Linked DNA regions of Nothobranchius furzeri. The protein of the gene in region 2 purifies or fractionates together with the protein of the main gene of each other region. This does not show direct contact. Links are inferred from orthologs where the notes say so. Each region holds a gene or a part of one and is shown on either strand. Other genes may lie near its edges.

Region 1 (6,299 bases), on a different chromosome or scaffold from region 2:
TTGCATTTGTGCCTCCCACTTGTTCAGGGACCAAAAGTAATGGGACAGAATAAGAACCATAAATCAAACTTATACATTTCAATGCTTGGTTGCAAATCCTTTGCAGTCAATTACAACCTGAAGTCTGGAACACAGACATCACCAGACGTTGGGTTTCATTCCTGGTGATGCTCTGCCAGGGCTCTAGTCAAGTCAAGTCAACTTTATTTAAAAAGCACTTAACAACAGCATAAAAGCTGACCAAAGTGCTTAACAAGCCAAAAAGAACAGAAGTTCCCTAAAAATTCTAAAAATAAGATCAAAAGTTCATCACAAAGTAAAAACATGGTAAAAACAAACATATCAAACTGACATAGAAGCTACTAAAAACAGGTGCATTCTCAAGCTGAACTAGAACTGCAAGCAGTTATCTACGGGTTCCAAGCCAACCAGCGCCAGCCCCCCACCCAGCCCCGCCCTCACCTTCGCCATTCCTCACGCGGTCCCGCTCCAAAAACACGTTCTCCCGCCGGCGCCCCGTCAGCTCACTTCAGCCGGCGCAGTGAAAGGAACACTCAGGATTTGTCATGAAACCTCTTGCACAGCCTATACACAAATCTTTCACAGGCATGGCTGACTTCTCAGTCGTGATTATAATGAAATTCCACCGTTTCCTTTTTAAAGAACGTGAAGATTTAATGAGTGAAGTGATGAGAAATCAGGTTTTGTCATTTTATTGATTGTAAATGAAATGCTTTTTCAAAAAACAATTATATTGAGATGTACAATTAAACTGACCGAAACAAAAACTTAATTATAAAATCCATATTTGATCTAAAGATTATCAAACAATAATCTATACGTCAACAGAATATTACAAATAACAAATACTTGATAATGTCTCTAGATCTATAAGATTTTCAACAAAAACTATGATTTTCATTTTTTGACTTGCTGATCAAATGTTTAAAAAATCCTGAAAAATACATATATCATCATAAAATTACCTAAATATTCTCACATGGCAATGTTAACATGCGGAATAATATGATATTGTTTTTAAATCAGTAGACTCAAACCATTTATGAAGAAAAATTGTTAAATATAAATAAGGGTCACAGCCAAAATTAAAACATTCATAAAAAATAGTGCTACTTTCTAAAAATAGTAGAAAAATCTCAGATCACCATAGGTGCATGTGGAATGTTATAAATGATTCATATTTACTGTATACCTAAAAAAACTTTCTAACGTAAATTATTTACTTTTTTGTCCAACTATACAGAAAAACTGGCAAAAAGTTAAAATTCTTAAAAAATCTATGCTTTTGTACAGAAATCTCAAAATATTCCCAGATTGCCTCTGTCATGTGGAAATTCTGTTTATACTTTTGTAGGGATCATAAATGTTAAACTTTTCTTACAATAAAATAATATTTGCATTAGTGGCAGTCACCAAAAATAAGTCCTATAATTAAACACAAGGGGGTGCTCAAATCAAGACAACATTTTACGTGTTTCATAAACCACCAAAGAGTGAACTTTGTGCCAAATTTCTAGAAGATTGTCATAACAGAATTTGCGCTACAACTGCTAGCCTAAAAATGTATTTTCGTAAATATAAAGCGCAAACCTCTTCGTGGAGCTGCGATTTTCGTGACATAAGCTCAAGGCTACCCAGTTAACGCAACCTGAAAATTTTAGCCTCTTACATGCAAATAATTATTTTTAGAAAATTTTTCAAATGTGAAATTTTAAATTATCATAAACCACGCCTACTTTTATCAATCATTACAATATTGATAAAGTAGTCGTAAGACTCTAATGATGACAACCACTAAGTTTCATGCAGATCCATTTAGCCGGTTCAGCAGTATAATTTCTTCCTATTTATAGCGCCCCCTATTGTTGAATCAAGTTGAAAATCAAGACATGCACTTGAATTGACCTTAGGTATGAATGTTATGAACAGCTGTGAAAAATGTCAAAATCTTTTGAAGTTATGCTAAAAAAACTTTTTCATTCCAAAAAAATATTTTAAAAAGTCATATTTCGAAAAATAGGCGAATTCTCCAAAATCCGCTCTCATCGTTTGCTCAGCCGCTCCTCCTCTCTCGTCAGGCCATGTTTTGATTTGATTGTGTTTGACGGCCGGGAGGAGTTAACGAAAGTACGTTTGACTTACTATGCAAATTTCTACTAATTTGCATAAGTTTAAAACATTTTTTAAAATACTCATCTAAATTTGACTGACTCAATGAACATACTGGATGAGACCATTTGTTTTTTTACGAAAGTAATGGGGAGAAACATGCCATAAACATTTTTGGGGTACAACAGCGCCATCTACTGGACAAAATTCAATTTTTTTTCTGTGATTGTAGATGTCACTATGACTGATTTGATTTGTAACTTTCTGTACAGAATATATATTTTTCATGAGTAAAAGGGCGAAAACTTGTAAAGCCTATTTATAGCCTATAAGCCACGCCCACTTTTTAATCATTTTCGAAATATAGCGTAAGGGTCCAATGATAAACGTATCTGCCAAGTTCTGTGGAAATCCATCGAGCCGTTTTGAAACTGTTTGACTCTTTAGCGCCCCCTATTGGTGAATCCAAACAAAATTTGGTAGATAGGGCTTACCGATCATACTTTCTAAGGGTCTAGAGTCTCATCGTTTTATCTTGAAAAATGGTGGAGATATCATCAATTAGGACATGTGCTAGCTAGCGTTCTTCTTCTGTCCCATTACTTTTGGTCTCTTAACACGTGGGAGGCACTTATGCTAACTGTTGTAATTCCTACACCGTTCACCTGACTTGGATGTAAATACCCTCAAATAAAAGCTGACCGTCTGCAGTTAAAGCACATCTTGTTCGTTTCATTTGATATCCATTGTGGTGGTGTATAGAGCCAAAAATGTTAGCATTGTGTCGATGTCCCACCTGACTGTAACAGCTGACCTTCTCTTTCTCTTTGTTGTCCAGGGATATGGTGAGCCGAGGGCTCGACGCTGAGCGCATCACACCCGTGGTTTCCTTCTCCCTCTGGGTGTCCTTAGTGGCCGTGATCTCGGAGAGCGCCCCGTAGCTGCCCGTCTTTCTCAAACCCAAACGCCACGAGGCCGGAGACTCGTCCTTCTTCTCCTCCTCCACTTTTGTTGAAACCTTTCCAGCAGGCTGGGGGACCTGGGATGGAGCATAGGGGCAGCAATGATGAAAACTCACTCACTATTCGATTGTGAGAATTTTAGTCATCTTGTTAAGAAACACAACCACCAATCAGGTCAGACGCTGTCAGGTTAATTTAAAAGGAGCTGCAGTTGAGGGGAAAGTATTACACGGTTATGATCAGCAGTTCACTCAGTCGGGGCTTGAACTCATGCGACCCCTAGGGCTGAACGATTTTACGAACTGGGACTTTTCTGGCAGAAATTGCTTTTTCAGTTTGGTTCACGATTTCCTTAAAACAAAGCTCTAGCCTATTGTTCACCGTGTTTACATTCAATACAGGAAATGACATCATACCATCAAAAATGACAGGTTCAATCACTAAAGCAAGGGCGAAAGCTAAAGGTGCCGACATATTTTAATGCCAACTTTGATTTTCTTTAACTCTGCAACAGTTTGAGCCATCAGGCAGGATCAGATGGGTTTTGAAAAAGAAGAAGTTGTGCTTTAAAGTCCGCTTGATGTCATCATGGTAAACGCTTTTCTGCTGTTTGAGGATGCTGGTGATTCATCCTTTTTGTCCCTCCCTCCCTCCCTCCCTCCCTCCCTCACGCACGCACGCACGCACGCACACACACACACACACACACACACGGACACACGGATGCAACGATACCACTTTTTTCCAGACTGATACGATACAGATACTTGGATCTGAGTACTCGCCGATACCGATTACCAATATCGATACTTCTACCACACAAAAAAATGCAATGATTTGGAATACAGATTTAATTTTCTTCTCTGCTTTCAACAGGAAAAGACAGAGGTAGACAAAAAGTAAAATATATGAATGGAAATCATCACAAAACTAAAATATTAGGTGAACAGAAACGACAAGTTACAGTGAAGCCATTTTCAAGCAACTGCACTGGTATCTGTTAACTTTCACCGATACTGGTATTGGTATCAGTATCGGTGCCGATACAGGTACCAGTATCTTATCGGTGCATCCCTACACACACACACACACACACACACACACGAACAAGAGACGGAGTCAGGAGCAGATTGGGTCCACAAGATGATCACAGCAATGATTGTTGTTGTTTGCAGCAGCGCCACGAAAAGGAAAAACACAGGAACAACATCCAAATGTACCCATGTGCTGCTGCGGCAGGCTCTCACAACACACAACACCTCGTCGGCTCTCGCTGCGACCGAGGGAAAACCCTGGGTGTGTAAAACAGTTAACCTAACAGATCCTGGGTCTGTCGGGAGTGCTGAAAAACTCTGATCTGATCGTTTGAAATCGTAATTTCAATCAGAAAACAACAGATCGTTCAGCCTTAAGACCAGACTCATCACCACCACCATGATTCACAGGGACAATTTAAACTGTAGAAACACACACACACACACACACGAAAATATTAGCAGTGCATTGAAAAGTGAAAACAGCACCATGTGATGTTTGTGAGTGAAGGGCGGGTCGGTTGTTGGGACTTTTCCACTAGGGTGGTCTCACAATAACTGACTAAATGCAGCTCCACCTTTTCATTAAGGTTCAGAGAACGAGATGCTATTCATTTCATTTAAAAAAAATCTTGTAGAAAAATAGAAATAATGCAGATTCGAGCTGATTTCTGAGTGTTCAGCCTCGGCTAAAGCAGTCCTGCTTCTGAAGCAGGACGCCAGAGTTCAGTGCTGCGCAACGCTCTAAAGGCAGGCCGACCCCATCGAGTGGAAAAAACCCTACATCACCTGGACCAGGTGGGCGTGGTTAGGAGACGTTTTAGTGCTTTGTGAGAGCATGAGTGCATGTAGGACGAGACAACAACGCTGGTGCACACCAGAGCCTCACCATCAGCTTTTTGGGCACAAGAGAAATGCCAGTTTTGCGCAAACCTTGACGCCACAGCGAAGGACAGCCTGGCTCCGCCAAAGGCATGAGAGGAGTAATATAATCAAACTAAAGCCAACCAAGACAAGCGCCCGGGATGAAAAAGTAAAAAACACGGAGAGGGAGGAAGACAAAGGATGACAAAAAAAAAAAAAAAAGACAGAATAAGACAGAAGCAGAAGCAAAAGAAACAGACTTTGTGTGCAAGGACAGGAAATTCAAAGCCAGGTCACGCCACAAGGGACCAAACCAGGGCCGCCGCTGGAACACATCTGTTTGTTACGCTCACTTCTATTCAGAGATGTGGATTGTGAGCACCTGGCTTTAAATACGCTTTGTTGCAGGAAAAAAAGCATCATCAAAAAGAGTAAAGGACCCGTTAAAGCTGCCAGAGCTAAACTAGCCAGAGCATTCTGCTTTTATAAACTAGACGTTTATGACTTTCCAAAACATTTTCAGGTTGTTTGCATTAGTCACACATATTAGCTAATATTTGCAGCCAGCGGAACAAAATAAAAAGAGCTTTCTCTTAAAGAGAGGCCCCATTCTCACTGTGGTTTAATGGCTTTTGCTTCAGCTTGCCACCAGAGGGCAGCAAAGCCCCAAAAGAAAGCTATGCGCTCCCAATACCTAAATATTCATCCTAATCTAGAACTCCACAACTTTATTTCCATCGTCTTTTAGAGAGAAGTAAAAAAAAATCTGCTGAAATCAATGTGGGTTAGAATTTAAGTGATGCAAACCCAGTCAGCAAGAGAAATTGTGCCGCTTTCCAGGAGTAGATCAAGTTCAAAAGACACGAAGGACAGTTTGAACTCAACGTAGCGAGTCACACCGAGGTTTTGCTGCACTTTTGAATGTTCAGGAAGGTCTTTTAAGACTAAATTTACATAAATTCTGTCCAAAGAAAACTAAAACGGTCGTTCGGTTAGTTGTACCTTTTTAACCGGTGAAGTAGGAGTTGTCACCTGGTTAGTAGGGCTAGTTGGAGATGAAACGGTGACGCTGACGGTGGTGGGGGTGGGTGTCGAGCTGCTGCTCACCGCTGGGGCCGGTTTGCTTTTTTCTGGAGGGTTTAAAACAATTAGAGGGTTAAGAAAAGGTCCCAAACGGTTTTCTATGGTTTTTACTGAAGCTCTGTGGTGAGAAAAGAAAAAAGGAGCACCAGCTTCCGTCTCAGACTCTGAATCCTCTTCCTCCTCCTCTTCGCTCGAGCAGCTCGATTCATCCTTCTTCCCCTCCTCC
Region 2 (6,855 bases):
ACAGAGTTTCAGCTTCATCCAAAGATTTTCTATTGGATTCAGGTCTGGAGGCTGGCTAGGCCACTCCTGAACCACGATGTGCTTCTTACAGAGCCACTCCTTGGTTATCCTGGCTCCGTGCTTCGGGTCATTGTCATTTCCTTGATGCCCGGTTCACACTATGCAATTTTCGGCCGTCTTAGCCAAATCCCTCTTCCCGAGCAGAATCGTGACCAAAAAAAAAGTGAACGCAAGGGTGATTTGCATATCTGTGGACATACAGTGTATGGCTCTGCAACATCGTTTTGAGCCATCACAGGACCAAAGACAGCCTCCAACAGTCTACAAGCACTGCTTGAAAACCTACAACTCCTGTCTGCAACCGACCAATGAAAACACACCTTTGGGACGCCGCAGCAGCAAGATTTTGCCTCTCTGAGCTTCGGTTTCAATTTATGCTTAAAATGCAGATTATTAACTACACAAAGATTTTCATTTTTGTTAATTGCTCAAGGTAAACCAGAGTTATGCTTAAAATAATGAAACTACCTTTTTTAGACCATCAGATAACTTGTGAAAACCGAAACGTTTTCAAGAAACCAAAAGAAGAAGTCCAGTTGCCTTCATTTGAACCCTTTGGATTACCGTGACCTGGATGACTGAGAACCTTCACCAGCATAAAAAGTAAAACACAAAAACACGCGATCCCTTTGCTGATGGTGGAAATCTCACACATTCAACCGATAAGGATTTTTCAGTAGCGTTTTGTTGCCGAGTGGCAGCACCAGGTGTGATGAGCTGTCATGGAGTGGAGCTGCATGAGGAGTAAATTCACAGCAGAAGTTTAGATATTGGGGCGATGTGTGATGGATTGTTACTTCTCTGTAGTTTAGTGGGTTTTAGGGGATGAGAAGTGGCGCATGTCCAGCAGACAGCTCTGCTGTTTAGCTGGAAGACGGGAAAAGGAGACTTGCAGACGGAGTCTGAGGCCAAAGCAAAGGTTTTAAAAATGATCCTTCGTCTTTGAGGTAGATGAGCTGACTCTAAAAAGAAGTGTTGACGACGGCCTTTTAAAAAATCTTTTCCGCTTTGTTTTGGTTAGCAGTCTTAGTGACATATGCTATCGGGGCGCGCTCATGACGTAGCGTGTCGTGCTGGAACGAGACGCTGTGTGCTCTGGCTAACAGAAATCTTGCGCCGTACAGTGTGCTTGCTACCTTTCTGGAGTTCTCACAGTGGGACATGAGCAGTCCTGTGTGATGGCTGAAATACGCACAGTGTGATCCCAGCTTAATGCAGTGCAGTCATCCCATTCTCTTGGCAGAAAGGCACCCCCAAAGCATGATTTTTCCACCCTCATGCTTCACTGTAGGGTTCTTGTGACGCAACACATCCTTCTTTTTCCTCTAAACACGGAGAGTTGAGTTTAGACCAAAAAGTTCTATTTTGGTCTCACTGAACCACATGACTTTCTCCCATGCCTCCTCTGAATCATCCAGAGGGTCATTGGCAAACTTCAGACGGGCCTGGACATGTGATGACTTGAGCAGGGAAACCTCCCGTGTAATGCATGATGGTGTTGTGTTCTACCAACAGTGAACTTTGAAACTGTGGACCCAGCTCTCTTCATGTCATGGACCAGCTCCTCCTGTGTAGTTCTGAGCTGACTCCTCACCGTTCTTATCAAAGATACCCTACCAGGTGAGATCTTGCATGGGCCCCCCATCCGAGGAAGACTGACAGTCGTCTTTAGCCTATTCCATTTTCTAGCAATCGCTCCAACAGTTGATCTAGTTTCAATTGCCCAGCACTCCTTTTCAGCCTGGTGAAGGTCCACAAGTTTGTCTCTGGTGTCTTTTTACAGCTCTGTGGTCTTGGCCATGGTAGTAGTTGGAGTGTGACTGACTGTGGGGTGGACAAGTGGGGTGGAGCTCAGACAGGTGCTACTAACTTAGACGAATAAGTGGAGTAGAGGTGGACTCTTTAAAAGGCAGAGTGACAGGTCTTTGAGAGCCAGAATTATTGATGATTCCCAGGTGTTCAAATACTTATGTGCAGCAGTGCAATACAAATACATGATTTAAAAATCACCCAATGTCATTTCCCGATTTTTTTAAAAGCTGTCTCTCCCAGTGGGGATGCACTTACAATGTGAATTTCAGACCCCTCCATGATTTTGTGGGAGAACTTGCAAATTCGCAGGGTGTTCAAAGACTTTTGTTCCTCACTGTAGTTAATTGGGCTGCGCAGTGGCGCAGTGGTTAGAGCTGGTCTTGGGTTCGCTTCCCGGCCTGGGAACTTTCTGCATGGAGTTTGCATGTTCTCCCTGTGCATGCGTGGGTTCTCTCCGGGTACTCCGGCTTCCTCCCACAGACCAAAAACATGACTGTTAGGTTGATTGGTCTGTCTGAACTGTCCTTGGGTGTGAGTGTGTGCGTGCATGATTGTTTGTCCTGTGTGTCTCTGTGTTGCCCTGCGATGGACTGGCTCTCTGTCCAGGGTGTACCCCGCCTGATTGCCTGTCGACTGCTGGAGATAGCCCCCCCCCCGGCGACCCCATGTGGACAAAGCGGGTTCAGAAGATGGATGGACGGACTGTAGCTAATTGGGGGTGCATGAATGCACAAACAGCGTTACTGTTATGCAGTGAGTGGCGGATCAACACCCTCATGGATGCATGCATAGCCCCCAACCTAAATGGGTTATGCAATCAAACATATGAACTCAGACAATAGCTGTGGAGAATAATGCAGGATGGAGCGCACTTCTGTGTTGAGTCGGATTACAGATTATCTCACTGCAGAGGCTGATTTCTCTGATAAATGATATTAGTTTAGGGTGAAACCAAATCTAAATCCCAGACAGTTGTTTCCTCTGAAGGGTGTGTGGACAAGACTGGACTCGTACCCCTGCATGTTTTCGGCCAATGCTGGCAGGGAAATTCCTGATAATTCACTCACTTCCTTGAGTTGAAGCACTTTCGCTCACGTCAGACGTTTATCTTTTAAACAGCATAAACATCTGATAAGCAACACAAAACTACTTGGGTTTTATTTTTAGTAACTGACCTGGTTTAACTCTGAGCGACTTTGTTTCTGCTTTGCCTGTACTTTTAGTTTCCTTTGGGTTATTTTTTTTTATTATCACACTGTTGGAAAATTTTAAATGCAAATTATAAATTGTGTGAAATTTCTTGAAATGTGCACAAAATGTAAAAGGCAAGTTTGAGGGGTTTAGTTTATTGAAGGTGATTTTAAAGTCACTTTTAAATCGTAGTTTTAATTTCTTTAAAATTGTTGTAAATTCTGCTGAAATATTTCTAATCTTCAACCCAGTCTAAGCGTTAAGAGTGTAACTTCAAACACATTTTTTAAATACTTGAAGGTCAGACAATGTTTAGGGACATAATCTTCAAAAACACATGTCTTAAGTTGTCTAACCTCCTTTATGTGCCTTTTAGGGGCTTATCTCAGACATTTTTCTACTATGAATGCTTCACATTCCCCCTTGGGTCAAAGGGAACAGGAATTCACCCGGAAGGCCAGCCTTAATTCCCACTTTTGTTTCTGAAACTTTGAAAGAAAATGACTACATTTCCTGGTTTGAACTTCCCCCAGAAGAAATCAGTTTCAGTTATTCCAACACAACTTTCTGATAAGTTTCACATATTTTTCCTCAGGCACAGGAGCTCATTTGTGCTATTATCGCACAACTAGAAGACATTTATTGGAACCTCCTTTGACTTCTTATCTTAACTCTGATAAAGGTGGTGGGAATACAATGCTCAGATTATTTTAGATGTGATGCTATTCAGTGCGTCTAGTGATTAAAAAGGACTGGGCTATCAACGCATGATGTTAAAATAAACTTGCGTATCAGAAAGCCTGTTTTTAGATCTTTTTTACATTCCAGCGACACGTGATGACTCTCACTGAAGTGAAACCGCAGATTAAAAAGGCAACAGACCTGATGGACTAAAAATAATCCCGCAGGTCTAAACAACAGGTGGCAAGGAGGAGCGGCGGCACAAACACTCGCGTGAAACGGACTGCTGACCTGTCGTCACGATGAAATACTACTACTTCTAATAATAATAATAATAATAATAATAATATCAGCTGTATCTTACCAGCCTCCCGGATCTCTCCCTGGCCTTCTTCACCTTGCCGTAGGTTCCTTTCCCCAGAGTCTCCAGAAACTCGTACCTGTGCTTCAGGTTGTGTTTGTGGTGGTGCCTCTTCACCGCATGCTTCCTCAAGGGCACCTGGGACGGAGATCCCCCACAAGGAGGGTCTGAAACTCCTCCGGCAGACGGGAGACTCCAGCCGTCCATGCCGACGCAGACAGCGCTACTGTCTCTACTTTCGTTGTGCTTTTGGTCGCAGCAGGTGTCGCTTGTAAACAACATTCCTGAGTCCGGAGCTACCTTGATTATTTTAAAATCGCCAGGTTCGGTTGGGTGTCATTTATCACGACAGAGTCCGCCCAGCCCGGCCTGATTAAAGTGACTTGCTACGACTAAATTGTGAGGAGGACATGAAGATTAAGGCCAGCAAGAGGAGCCGGGCTGCAGGTACTCTGCGTGCGGGCGGAGACTGAGGGAAGCCCCGCCCCCTGCCAGACAGAGGAGGAGTTTCAGGTCGCGCGCCGGAGACATTGTTTTTCGCGGGAGCGCACATCTCACTTCAACCAGTAAGATCTGAGCTGAATATGTTACTTATCCTTGTACTTCCTGAAAAAGGTTTGGGGCAGACAAATCAACGAAGTTTCACATTTAATTGAACACGTTTCAAATGCACCTTTGTCAAAGTGTGTCAAGATAGTAATCTTTTTCTTCTAACAACAATGACAGTTTGTACTACAAGTCTGCTGTGAGTGCAGATGAAACACAACATAGGTGAGAAAGCATTTAGAAGAAATGTGTATGCCCCTAAGTGTCCATTCTGGTTAGGAAACAAATTAATCGTTTTATTTTGTAGTAACTTGAGAATGATGTACAAATCAGAAATGGAACTTTAATTTTTGCATTTTTCTTCTTTATTTTCATTTTTAACAGCTTAAGAGGGACATTGTGTATTAATGAACATTTAGTATAGCAAAATGAATGTGTTGTGTGTATTAGTTTATGTAGCTAGTCATCCTATATGAATATGTCCAGATTCAGCCACTAGAGGTCAGCAAAAGCCACCTTATGTTTGAATTTGGGTTAATTGATCTGATTTAGACCTGTTCAATGAAACCAAGACAAAACAACTCATTTATAATATAATCAGTTAAAGCATTTTCAGTGTTTCATCTTCTATTCATCCTATTCTATTTCATAGTACATAAAATAAACGAAGCATGAAAAACAGCTCAGACCAGGTTAATGGATGTCAGACAGTCTCCTTCTGATAGGATGCTTTAAAAAGCTCTTTCACACATCATTCCCGATTGACCCCCTAACCCATCGGACAGAGACTTTGTTTACGTATGTTTACTGCATTACTACATTTAATGAAATGTTAGATGGCCGAAACAGAAAGGGAGCCTGATTTAACCAGGATCAATAGTATTACTCATACCACCATGGTTATTTATTATCTGGTAGAGGATCCACATCTCAGAAAAGGTTTTTGACGGCTGAGTCTCAGACAGGCAAAGTGCTCAGTCACAGCATGCGATCAGACCCGTTTCAGAGACGAGTCTTGCATATGAGCACTATAAAGCAGTGATTGGTAACTCATGCAGGACACTGTAAAATCCTGGAAAACAAAGAACTAAACTCACAAAGAGGAAACCTTTTAACGCAGATTTCTGCTGATAGCAACTGACTTTTTTGTGAATTATTTAGCAGCAGCATGAGTTCAGTGCAGATGTGTTAATTGTTCAAATGCGCAGATTTTCTAATTCATAACACATTTACTAATATTAGCCTGTTTGCTATTTGTCATATTTAGACTGAATGCTGAAAATAATTATTTTCCTGTTTCTCTTCATTCTAAGTTTCAGTATATTTTTATTTTTCTGCATCTGTACGTTGTTTGGAATCGGGTCACTACTGGTTCTACAATTTCAACAAATTTCAAATCAAAACATTGTGCTTGTTTTTCCTCTTTCCTGCTGTGACCTTTTGTAATTCTGACAATTATAAATTTCAAGTGATAAAATTTATTCTGTATTTAAAGGGAGGCTAGGCAGTCATGGCTTGCTTTTTAGCCCCCCCCCCCCCCCCCCCCCCATTAGAACCGAAAGCAAAACCTAAATCCTTGCTTTTAGTTAGTCTTTTTAACACCTTAATCTAACAGCTGAAATGTCTCCCCAGCTTTCATCAGTGTCTACAGAGGTGGTTCATCACTAAATTAAACAAATCAGCTGTGTTCAAGATTTAAAACATGCAGGAAACATGCTGGAACCAGACTGCAGTGCCAGATATGTTGGCTCCAATTTTTTCTGCCAAGACGCAATCCCAATACTCATATTGCGCTGTGCTAATTTAAAAAAACTTCATATAAACTTTCATACAAACCTAACAATTATTTGAAATACATTTACATTCACTCCTGCTTTGTCTAAAACATTCATAGCATCAGTTAATTGTCAATGAACGACATTCATTTGAAAATACATATTTTCAAAAGAGGCTCTTGGGTCTTTTCTCCCACAGCAATGGATTGTGGGTAATACCAATTAAGTGAAGTGCGCATCAAGGCTGCAAAAGGGGCATAACCACAGACACATTTTTGACTTGGGTGGGGGGGGGGGGGGGGGGGCGCAACCGGCATGAGGACCGGGGGGGATCTTTACAGTAAGTACACAAAAAATATGTGTAAAACTACAGCCTAGAGGCTCTTTTATGCAATGTCAGAAATGCAGAACTGTCAAGTACCCAGGTGG

The links.
Region 1: the proteins of nuak2 (region 2) and ppp1r12a purify together in Homo sapiens (affinity purification with mass spectrometry; 3 studies listed by BioGRID and IntAct, counting the BioPlex papers as one, with this or other methods). This does not show direct contact. The link is inferred for Nothobranchius furzeri from reciprocal best matches to the Homo sapiens genes NUAK2 and PPP1R12A.

The regions. Positions count from the first base shown.
Region 1 is NC_091741.1:40,774,340-40,780,638, forward strand, and holds part of ppp1r12a (protein phosphatase 1 regulatory subunit 12A), read right to left. Parts: coding exon 6,220-6,299; intron 6,121-6,219; coding exon 6,023-6,120; coding exon of another isoform or gene 5,993-6,022; intron 5,124-5,992; coding exon 5,016-5,123; intron 3,170-5,015; coding exon 2,945-3,169; intron 1-2,944. UniProt on the Homo sapiens protein: Key regulator of protein phosphatase 1C (PPP1C). Mediates binding to myosin. As part of the PPP1C complex, involved in dephosphorylation of PLK1. Capable of inhibiting HIF1AN-dependent suppression of HIF1A activity.
Region 2 is NC_091743.1:46,618,784-46,625,638, reverse strand, and holds the start of nuak2 (NUAK family SNF1-like kinase 2), read right to left. Parts: upstream 4,516-6,855; 5' UTR 4,388-4,515; coding exon 4,109-4,387; intron 1-4,108. UniProt on the Homo sapiens protein: Stress-activated kinase involved in tolerance to glucose starvation. Induces cell-cell detachment by increasing F-actin conversion to G-actin. Expression is induced by CD95 or TNF-alpha, via NF-kappa-B.